3 linked regions of the Pelodiscus sinensis genome follow. The protein of the gene in region 2 purifies or fractionates together with the protein of the main gene of each other region. This does not show direct contact. Links are inferred from orthologs where the notes say so. Each region holds a gene or a part of one and is shown on either strand. Other genes may lie near its edges.

Region 1 (3,746 bases), on a different chromosome or scaffold from region 2:
CGTTTGTAAAATAGGCTAGATGTACTAAACAATGTTTGAACAAACTCTCAATTTATGAAATAAAGTGACTTGTTACGAACCAACAAAACTTTCCATTCATCATAAACCTAACTTGTTCCGGGACACAAATTAACCAGAAATAATAATAATAATTATGGCTCGCCAAGCAGCGGCGAGCTCTGCTCGCCACCTGCACGATTTCACGTGGTTCTGCACATGTGCAGATTGCTCTGCGCTGGCTCTTCCAGGTTGTAAGCTACTTGCCACAGATGAGTAGATTACATTATTTGTTGAGCCCTGATAATAATAAATAATAATAATAATAATCATCATCATCATGTAAGCCAGTACATTTTATTGTATTGGTTTAGTGTTAGAAAAAAAACCCAGAAGAGGTCATGAAAATTACAGTATTTTTCAAGTTGAGAACTTTCTGTACTAATGTCATGCAATTAAAGTATGTCAAATTTGTTTTATATACTCTCAATAATCTTGTCACAGTAGTACTGTATACTTTTAATTAATCAGAGAGAATACATGTTTTAAATTATGTCTTTCTACAAAGGCTGCCTACCAGTGCCACTTTATTACTGGCGCACAATTTGAAAAAAAAATTAACCCCCCCCCCCACAAAAACCCCAAACCTTCAGCCATTTAAAACTCCTACTTTGTTTATCCCTAAAATTCATACTTTACATTTTCAATTATCTTTTGGAACAATGACGAACCCGGAAGAGATAAAGAAAAGAGACTTTTGTGAATGCTGGGTATTTTATTTCCTACCAGCTATATACAGATCTTGGATTTCAACTGGAACACTGCAAACCCAACAGACACTCTATTTAGCACTTTTTCTGTTCTCTTACTATGAAAACACAGGAGATGTTACCATATATTAAAACTCTCCTCTCCAGATTTTTTTTAACAAAAAATTGTATACAGTATGAACTTTAAAAGAAAATCAATATTATCTCGGTACCAGATCCTACTTCCTACCTCCCTTGTGCTACAGTATGTGAACTATTCAGTTTTGTAAGAGTTCACATCTACCTTGTTAACATACACATGCGATGCTGCTGAATAGTAGGCTCAATTCTTGAAGACACTAAGAACATTCAACACCCCATAGAAGTGGAGGGCTTAGCACTTTGCAGCAACAGACCCATCATGGTGAAGAGTATTTTGACAAAGGGTCTGGATCCGCTCCAACTGACTCCAGTGGGAGTAGGCCCTAACCCCATGCTCTACTAACCTGGTTGCGTGTTATCTTAAGTCTCCTGGATCACAGCCCATTGCAACCCAAAGGATGCTCTCCTGTCTACTGACCGACGCTCTTCACTTCACGGAGCAACAATGGCAACGCGAGCTGCTATCACAATAGCCAGGAATAACTCCGTGCCACACTCAGGGGAGGCTCTCCCCACTGCTGCCTACCACACACACTCGGGTCCGTAACGTTCGCAGGAAGCCGGGGCAGGCCCTGTAGGCCCCGCCACGCTCCCGCCCGTGCGGGTGCCGGCATCCCTGGCCGCAGCGGCGCGGAAGGGGGGGGGGGGGGGGGCATTTCACCGCGAAAGCCTGCTCACGAGCTTCCGCCGCGCCCGGCAGGGGCTCGCCGGGATGCAGCGCGGAGGCTCCAGGCCGCCCCTGGTCCCCCACAGCGCCGGGAGGGCAGAGGCCCAGCCGTGCCCTCTCCCCCTTCCCTCGCACAGCGGCGAGGCATGTCCCCCCCCCCGCAGGGCGAAGGTCTCGCAGGCCCCAAGCCCGCCCGCAGCTCCCTCAGACCTCGGCGGCCTCCCTCATTCGACCTCCCCTCAGGCTCTCCCAGGCCGCCGTCCAGCCCGGGCCGCTCTCCTTCCCGCACAGGCGGGGGGAGCCGCCGCCGCCTCCGGGCCCTCCCCTGAGGCCCGGCGCACGGTACCTTGTAGAAGGCCCCATTGGAGCCCCGCACCTCCACCACCAGCTCCTCCATGTTGTGCCGCGGCGGCTCGGTGCGGGATGCCCAGGCCCGGCGCCGCCTCTCTCTCTCCGGGGGAGGGTGGGGGGGAGCCTCGGTTCGCTCCGTAGCCGGAGGGGTGGGGGCGGGTCGGCTCCGGTCCTCGCCCGCGGCTGCCCGGAAATGAAAGCGAAACGGTCACCACCCGGCGGCGCGCGGGGGGGGGCGGTAGGAAGAGGGGCGCCCGCTTCGAATGTAAACATTAAACCCGCATCACGTGACAGGCCCCCCGATCGGGGTGGGAGGGGCGGGAAAATCAGCTCGCGCGAGCACGCCCCGCTCACGTCCACCTAACGGCTAGCCCGGCGCGCCCCTCCCTCACACACACACTCTCTCTTCCCCCAGCGGCGGCACGCAACCGAACCTCACGGCGCGACGGCATCCCACCCCTGCCGCTCACGCTCTGAGCGACTGCACCGCCACCCAATGGCGGCGCGCCATCGTCGTGCGCCGCGGCCAATGGGAGTGCCCGGGAAGGAGGCCGCGTGACCCGTCGAGGCGCCTGTTAGCACGGCGTTCAACGGCCCTCGGGAAGAGACGGGTAAGGGGGCCGTTAGTGGAGTTCGCGAGGAGAACGGAAGGGGTAGGGCTTGTGGCGCCAAAATAACGAGCGGGCGAGGCGGGGGAGAGAGGCGGGAGGTGCGGGGTGGGTGGCGGTTCGGGACCAGGAGTGGGGGAAGACCCGGGGGGGAGGGGTCTGAGGTGCGGGACCAGGAAAGGCGGAAGATTGGGGAGGCTGGGAGGGAGGGTTGTGGGGTGGGACCAGGATAGGCGGGAGGCTGGGGCGGGGTGAGGCGGGAGGGTTGTTTTGTGGGGTCGAGGGTGCGGGACCAGGAAAGGCGGGAGGCTGGTGGAGGGAGGGTTGTGGAGTAGGGCTGCGGGTGGGGCGAGAGGGTTGTGATGTAGGGTCCGGGACCAGGAAAGGCGGAAGACGGGGGAGGCTGGGGTGGGGTGGGGGAAAGGGTGAAGAGAGGCTTGTGGTGTGGGCTGAGGGTGGGGGAGGCTGGAGGCGTGGGACCAGGAGGGGGTCAGACTGGGGGGCTGGTGCTGGGTGGAGGGAGGGCAGTGATGCATGGCTGAAAGAGGGGAGAGGCGGGGGGGAGGGTGCAGCGCGTGGGAAATGTTGGCTGAAGAGGATTGTGGCTTAGCTGTCCTGGGCAGAGCCCTGGGTGGTTACAAAGTTGGTATCTGCCAAAAGAAAAAACCCATGGATGCTTACATTTGCCAGTGCTCATACCTATAAAACAGACATCCACAGGCTTGCATTTTTCTAGATACACAGTCTCTATCTGCCAATATGAGCCGGTGGGTATCTGTAACCACATACCACAGCTGCCTGTGATTTGCATCACTCTCATCATGCAGCAGGTGAAGTTGAGTTTTCTGTGCAGTGGTGCTAGGTTTAGATGCACAACTAAAGAAGGCCCTTGGCAGTGGAGGACTAAGCTGGCTAATCACCTGCCACGCATTTTGCACTAATTGTTTGATCTGAATTAAAACCCTGCAGGTGCTGTTAAGAAGGGGCCTATCTTCCTCTTGGGGATCTAACCCAAGCTCAGTTCTTCATGTTGAGAGTAAATGGAGGCTGTAGCTTGAGTTGTCTGCCCTTGTTAGCTGTTTCTCCTCCGACCTAGACCATTTCAGATGTTCTGCAGATCAAATCCGAAAGAGAGCTCAGGAAGCCCTTGTTAAATACAGGTGGCAATGTTGGGGACTGTTAGTGCTATTGCACAACTTCCACTCTTGGCTT
Region 2 (3,746 bases):
GCTAGACAATATTGACCTCCTATGGCTGGGCTACTCAACTTTGGAAAGTTGAGTAGCTGAGAGACACAGTAATACTCACAGCACATGCCAAAGGCTGCAACATAAGTGCGGGTTGCATATACACGCAAATATATATGCAAATATACGTAAACAGATTCTTTCACACTGATGGGCATGAATACAAAGATTAAGGCAAGACTACACAGCACACAGGCCCCATTTAAATCAGTTCTACTGATACTGATAAAATGCAATATTTACCCCATTTCCACGCATATGACAGCACTTTTAATGAGCAATGACAGTCCAGGAATTTAACTACTAAAACACATATCAACAGAAGACCATTAAATTGACTTGCCATTGTGGAGCGTGCTCCCAGGGGAGGCCATACTCAAACGATCTCACCTGCAGGCCGCACATTGAGCCCCATGTAAACCCAACCCCCTCACGGGCTGCAAACAAATGGGCCATGTGTTGAGTAGATCTGTCTTACAGTTTGACAAATTCTCTGGTTCAGCACTGGTCAGGTCCTGAGGATGTCAGACTAGAGGGGTTCAACCTATATTTTAACTTCAAAAAATGACCCCTGATCCCTATATCAACGAGGTTTAGAGACACAAAATAGAGTGAATCGTGCCATCTCCCTCTAGAGTAAAATTGTTATGTATGGGGTATTATTTGTGACCTAAGTAACAACTACTCTATAAAATAAACCCTGAAAAACGTTAAATGAAGGAACATTTAAATCACTGCACTCTATAAATTACCTTGAAAACATCCTGATCTTAACAAGTGATTGTTTAATATACAGATCCGACTGATATTTTCAGGTTGAGGTGACTGCATGGTCACCTAACTTTAGCACACTAATCCACAATTCATGTTACCTTTTAACTTATCTGTCTCTGACTTCAAAATTCATACAGGAATTTCCCATTGATAGGTGTACTTATTTTCTACTTATCAGTGCAGCACAGGCACAATATAACAAAAGTTAAAATGAATGTTTAACACAGAAATAATTATTAAGCTCTCTCTCACAAAATAAATGTCCTATAGCAGCCAATACGTATCCACAAAAAGGTATGCTTATTCTTGAATAAAAACATATTAACAATGCACTTTGAAAATTTTTGACTGAAAAGGACTAAATATAAACCAGCATCAGACATAGGGACATATTTTGTGCTTATACATATTGTTTATTCACAAATGTACCTTGCAAATGAAAGCAGCATTACAAATCTTAGAGATAAGAAACTTAAATAAAAACACAGGTTCAATTTCAGGGATATATATAGTCACTTCCATGCAGTAAAATCCGTAACTGGACCTGAAGTTTTGCAGTTTAGTTTAGTTTGATTTTCAACCAGAGCCAGCATTTTGCTTCCTACCCATCAATGTCCCATGTAGATAAAATGGTAAAGATAATTTCTATCTTTGTACTTTAAAGAGTAGCATTAGTTTTGCCAAGTTCTCAAGAAATGAGTAAAGGACATTAAGAAAAATATGTATTAAATAACTGCCAGAAAAAGGCTACATGTTAAATGTATAAAGATGACGTCTGATTCTATATAGAGAATTTTCTCTAAACTGAAAAATTATCTAAAATTTTAAGATGTCAGATGCTTCTATCATATAATATCATTGGGGAAGAATTTCATTAAAAGTAATTTTTATTTTGACATAAAGAAGATACTGCATCTTTAAGCATCCAGCAGTTTCAAAGCAACGCTAGGCTGCAATCACAACATCCATTAGAGTGTTCCACGTTTCAGAGCAAGCAAGCAAGCAAGTGGTTGTCATTGTAGCCAGTAAATCACCTGATCCTATTACAAAATCAATTACTGCAGCACATTTCTATTGCTACATAACCTGATGATAGCAAAATGATATTGGATAGCTACTGCAAGGTCAAGAAAACTGCTAGGAACAGCTCAAATTTCTCTTTTAATGTAAGTCTAAATTATAATGCATCTATTTAATGGTATATTTTAGATTTTAAATAAATATCTATATAGTTACCTTTTTTGGTTGATTGGGACATTCGGTGGATAGTCTCTGTAACTGGTCTGACGTATGGCTGCAAGATAGAAGATCAGAGCAGCAGGTCGAACAGCCCAGCCTCTTCATTAAAGAAAAAATAATGCTGCAGCCACATCCACACATTGACTTGCTCATCAGATGACTTTATTCCTTAAGAAACCAGAACTGGTACATTCCCATATATACTCAAAATTGGCTGACTGCCTCATTCTGCAGTTCCCTGGCTGAAATTAACACTGATAAACAGGAGAAAAACAAAACAAAACACGTGTTCCTCAAAAAAAAAAAAAAAAAAAAAGCCAGCCAGAGTCCCAACACGAAGCAAAATTCAACAGTAAAATATAGACAGTTTTACAAGGTAAGATGTTTTAAGGCTCTTAACTGGTTTATAAAAGGAAGAAAGGCACCTTAAGAGGAATAGATTCAAGGTGTCAGATACATTAAATTGCACACTCACTACAGTTTGTTCTTCTCCATCACTTCAAGTCCAGTTACCTACTCTAACGGCTCAGCCTATCCAACCTGTTCTTTCTCTAAGTGCACACTATTCCAATAGCCAACAGAAAAGAGCCACACCCCTCAACATCCTCCATGCACTCTATTCAAGAGCTGCTCAATATCTCAAAAAAGAACTGCTGTTGCATTGCTTAGAACAACAACAGGGAAGGGATTACTGGATGGAGGCTGACCTGCCAATCAGAGCAACTGACCTTTTATTACTCTAGTGTTCAAGAGGGACCTGTCAATACATTCAAGAAGAATGACAGACTTGTCTTCCTGTTATACTCTACAATAGATTTTCTACAATATATATTTTCTAATTTTATTGTAAATTGAATAATTTGTATGCAACAAAAGGATTGCACTGAAACATACAAAATTCTGTAAAGAAATGAGAATGGCTGCTACCAACCTATATGAGTTGTGATAACATTTAAGAAAAAAAACAAACACAAATTTAAACTAAAGGAGGACCAAGAAAGGAAAGTAAGTTGAAACATAACCTTTCTCTTATCAATCCCCAATAGAACTGTCTAGGATAAGCAGCTTTGAGAAAAAAAAGTTACACAAAGTCTTTGGCTCAGAGGAAGAATTGCACAGAAAAGCAACAGTAATTCAAAAGAGTAGTCATATCTCATAGGCTTCCAGGTCTGTTCCAAAAATATTTCATGTGCTGAAACCAAAATATGGTCTCTCAATAACACTCTCTACCTGTCTAATTGCATCTGTATAATTCGGTCTCAGTCAAAAACTTGACTGTTTCTCAGGGTATAAAATCAGTGAACCATATACTGATTTTCCCTTTTCATGTGATGGCATATTGTTATATGCCAGCATTACAAATATTTTAAAAACTTCATTTTAACCAGCTTACTAAAGTAAGCAATATGGTTTCTGAAATAAAAGGGTTCATATTAACACAAATGCTTAAAATGATTACAGGATAAAATGACTTGAAGTAAGTGTCATTTGCATTTATAGAGCTATCAGTGCTGGTCTAATTCAACAGCACCCCTATCAAAAGGTTACAAAAAAGTAGATGACGTAAAAGCAGCTTAAACATATATGTGTGTGTATGTTTATATATATATATATATGTGTGTGTTTTTATATATATATACACACACACACACACACACACACACACACACACACACACTGAAGAAAACTTCAGTTTTCTTACTGCACTGAAAGCT
Region 3 (3,746 bases), on a different chromosome or scaffold from region 2:
ACCACCCAGGTATGCCTCCAGTGGCCGTTTGGGCTCTCCCACGGCGGCCCGGCTGAGCGGCGCAGAAGTCAGCCAAGTGCCACGGCAGGAGGCGAAGGATGTGACTCAGGCAACAGCGCCGCCCAGAGGGAACAGCCAGCATTTCAGCGTTACAGAGTCACAGACATTGGGCTACTATCTATATGATACAGGTACTGCCATCATGGTACCGACACAGACATATCTCAGTAGCTTTACATATAAAATAGCCCAGCCCCATTGACCTCGTGGGCAATGTACCATGCAAACAATGGTGGGGAGGGTTAGTTACAGGGTCCCCTGCACCCCGTAATTGGCATGGGTCGTTTAGTATTGTCGTTCTGGCGTGTGGAAACGGAGAACACTTGATAGTTTTGCAATAACTTCAGAAAATGCAGTTGCAGGACGTCTCACTAGGGATGTAAATTCTCATTCATCAGTTACCCGGTTAATATCAGGTCACACCGGGTCTGCCCCGGCTCCCAGCCTGCTCCGGCGCAGCCCCTGTCCACAGCAAGCGGGACCCTTGGAGAGAGGCTGCTTTGGACACTGGCGCAGCCCGACTGTGGGGCCCAAGAGACAGGGGCTGCTCCGGAAAAGAGCCGCCCCTGGCTGCAGAGGGTCCTCTGAGGGGCGCAGCAGGTGGGGAGCCAGCCCCCTGCGAGGCACTGTTAAGAGGACGAAGGGAGCCGTCCCATGACATTGTGGGACCGTTCCGGATGATCCCCAGGCCCCGAGGCCAATGGGGCGGCATCTCCCTGCCAAGTAACAGGGCTGAGACCCTGGACCCCTCTGGGATGGAGGTTGGGCCCCAAGCGCTGCAGCGTCTGGGGCCTGGGTTAATGCAATTGCGGGACAGCTGCATGGGGGGCTCCTATGGGGCCCAACCCATCCCTCTGAGGAGTTCTTGGGGGGGGGGGGGAGGTCACATGACACCCTTTGCTTCTGGCCATGTGTTCATTTGACCCCAGAAGTACTACCCCAGGGACCGGACTTCCTGTAGCAGGTGGGCGGGGCTTGTGGGATCAGGGGCGGGGCTAGGGTGTCAGGGGGCGGGGCTAAGGTGTCCCTATTTTTTGGTCATTATTGCCAGTGGGTGAAACTGAGGTCAAAGTTCAGGCCCGTAATGCCGGGCTGCCCCCCCCTCCCCCCCCAGCCTGGGCACAGCCCCGCCCCCCCCGCCCAGCCTGGGCACAGCCCCGCCCCCCGCCGGAACCCAGCGGCGGCCCCGCGTTTCCGGCCGGTCCCCGTTCGCGGCCGGACCCGGCCAAGATGGCGGCGCCCAGCGGGCGGCACGTGCGGGCCGGAGCCGGGGCCATGGCCGGGCTGACGCTGCTGGTGCGCGGCCTCCCCCCCTCGGCCCGCGGGCCCGGCCTGGAGCGGATCTTCGGCCAGCTCGGCCCGCTCAAGCGCTGCTTCGTGGTGACCCACAAAGGTGGGGGGGGGCTGGAGCCGTGGGGCGGGGGAGGTGTCGGGGAGGGGGGCTGGAGCCGTGGGGCTGGGGGGGGGTGTCGGGTAGAGGGGCTGGAGCCGTGGGGCGGGGGAGGTGTCGGGGAGGGGGGCTGGAGCCGTGGGGCTGGGGGGGGTGTCGGGGAGAGGGGCTGGAGCCGTGGGGCGGGGGGGGTGTCGGGGAGGGGGGCTGGAGCCGTGGGGCTGGGGGGGGTGTCGGGTAGAGGGGCTGGAGCCGTGGGGCGGGGGAGGTGTCGGGGAGGGGGGCTGGAGCCGTGGGGCTGGGGGGGGTGTCGGGGAGAGGGGCTGGAGCCGTGGGGCGGGGGGGGTGTCGGGGAGGGGGGCTGGAGCCGTGGGGCTGGGGGGGGTGTCGGGGAGGGGGGCTGGAGCCGGGGGGCGGGGGGGGTGTCGGGGAGGGGGGCTGGAGCCGTGGGGCTGGGGGGGGTGTCGGGGAGAGGGGCTGGAGCCGTGGGGCGGGGGGGGTGTCGGGGAGGGGGGCTGGAGCCGTGGGGCGGGGGGGGTGTCGGGGAGGGGGGCTGGAGCCGTGGGGCGGGGGCGGTGTCGGGGAGAGGGGCTGGAGCCGGAGGGCGGGGGGGGGTGTCGGGGAGGGGGGCTGGAGCCGGGGGGCGGGGGGGGCCGCAGGGGTGTCGGAAGTTGGGTGCAGGGGGAACCGGCAGTCGCTGTGGGGTGGGGGTCTAGTCTAGAGAAGGGGGGGGCAGCCGGATCCGTGGTGCGAGGGGCTGGGGCGCAAGCCTGAGGAAGCAGGAGCCGGGCGGGGGGGAGGAGAACAGGGTTAGCTCAGGGCAGGGGAGCTGGGTCTGGTGGGAGGGGGCAGGGCTGCCGTGGCGGGGGTGGGGGTCTGCACCTGGACGAGCTCAGGGGAGTGGGGGAGAAGGCGGCCTCTGGATCAGCTGGAGTCTCCCTGAGTTGTTTGGGCCCGGGAGGGGAGCGGGTCCTTGGCCTGGGGGGACCCTGCCCCCGCCAGGCCTCCTGTCCCTCTGTGGGCCAGGCCCTGGGCCGGTATCCTGGTTTCCTGAGAGGGGGCCTCCCCTGGGCGAAGCCTGGTGCCCTAGAAGGCCCCGAGCTCCCAGCCCTTTGGCAGAGCCTGGGTCTGTGGGGTGCCGGTCATGCTGCCCCTCTCTTGCAGGCAGCGAGACCTGTCGTGGGTTTGGCTACGTCACCTTCTCCCTGCTGGAGGACGCCCAGCGAGCCCTCCGGGAGGTCACCGCCTTCGAGGGCCGTGCCATCTCGGTGACCGTTGCCAAGAAGAAGCTGAAGGAGAAGCGGCCTGGTGAGTTGAGAGCAGCCTGGCTCTGTGGTTATGGGGCACCGCGGGCCACGGGCTCCTCTCTGTGCCCACGGCCTGTGTCCTTGGTTGTGACCTCTGGGGTGGTGATGGGACGGGGGTTCCCCTGCTGTGTCCTGACTCGTGCTGGGTGTGGTTTTTTTTTTTGTTTTGTGTTTTTTTGTTTTTGTTTTTTGTTTTTGTTTTTTGTTTTTTTTGTTTGTTTTTTTTTGTGTGTTTGTAAGTAAGGGAGCCGTGGGGCAGAGGCGCCCGAGCAGCCCTGCCATGCCGTGCTCTCTGTTCCCAGGTGCCCCGGAGACCCCTCCAGGGGAGCAGAAGCCGAAAAAGCCGAAAGGGCCCCCCAAGAAAGCCAGGCTGATCATCCGCAACCTGAGCTTCCAGGTAGGTGGGCGAGCGGGTGCCTGGCGCGCGAGGTGAGGTCGCAGCTGGGGGCGGCGCTGGTGCTGCCTGTGGCTGGTAGCCACAGCGGCGCAGCGAAATGGGGGGAGCTGGCATGTGACGGGCAGCCGCTCGAAGCGGGTCCCGGGGTTTGTAACCTGGCACCGGCGCTGCCTTTCTCTTGGCAAAGGGTGAAATTCGCGTCGGAGCCCGGCCGAGCCGCGCGTGGGCGCTAAGGGCACCCTCTCGCCCGAGGGGAGCCCCCGGTCCTACCCAGCTCCCCACGGAGGGAGGGTTCCAGCTGGCAGGGCACTAGGTCGGCCTCGGTGTGCTCAGTTCCCTGCGCCCCTCCTTGCTCAGCCCAGCCCCTGCGCGGCTCTGACACGGCTCCTTCTCCCCAGTGCTCCGAAGACGACCTGCGGGCTCTGTTCTCGCCCTTCGGCGCCGTGCTGGAGGTGAACATCCCCCGCAAGGCAGGTAGGGCTCAGCCGCCTGCTGCTCCGCGCAGGGCCAGTCGGATCCAGGCTGCCGCGGGGCGTGCAGGGGGCTTGTCCTGGCCTGTGGCCTCTTAGCCCCCAGCCTGTCGGTCAAGCCC

Evidence for each region. The genes of interacting proteins can lie anywhere in the genome.
Region 1: the proteins of FBXW7 (region 2) and FMR1 purify together in Homo sapiens (affinity purification with mass spectrometry, with the first as the bait; 3 studies listed by BioGRID). This does not show direct contact. The link is inferred for Pelodiscus sinensis from reciprocal best matches to the Homo sapiens genes FBXW7 and FMR1.
Region 3: the proteins of FBXW7 (region 2) and RBM28 purify together in Homo sapiens (affinity purification with mass spectrometry, with the first as the bait; 3 studies listed by BioGRID). This does not show direct contact. The link is inferred for Pelodiscus sinensis from reciprocal best matches to the Homo sapiens genes FBXW7 and RBM28.

The regions. Positions count from the first base shown.
Region 1 is NC_134723.1:40,630,699-40,634,444, reverse strand, and holds the start of FMR1 (fragile X messenger ribonucleoprotein 1), read right to left. Parts: upstream 2,239-3,746; 5' UTR 1,973-2,238; coding exon 1,922-1,972; intron 1,918-1,921; exon of another isoform or gene 1,764-1,917; intron 1,697-1,763; exon of another isoform or gene 1,253-1,696; intron 1-1,252.
Region 2 is NC_134715.1:55,467,486-55,471,231, forward strand, and holds the start of FBXW7 (F-box/WD repeat-containing protein 7), read right to left. Parts: upstream 2,291-3,746; 5' UTR 2,185-2,290; coding exon 2,029-2,184; intron 1-2,028. UniProt on the Homo sapiens protein: Substrate recognition component of a SCF (SKP1-CUL1-F-box protein) E3 ubiquitin-protein ligase complex which mediates the ubiquitination and subsequent proteasomal degradation of target proteins.
Region 3 is NW_027465922.1:773,655-777,400, forward strand, and holds the start of RBM28 (RNA-binding protein 28), read left to right. Parts: upstream 1-1,259; 5' UTR 1,260-1,290; coding exon 1,291-1,453; intron 1,454-2,614; coding exon 2,615-2,758; intron 2,759-3,059; coding exon 3,060-3,154; intron 3,155-3,552; coding exon 3,553-3,628; intron 3,629-3,746. UniProt on the Homo sapiens protein: Nucleolar component of the spliceosomal ribonucleoprotein complexes.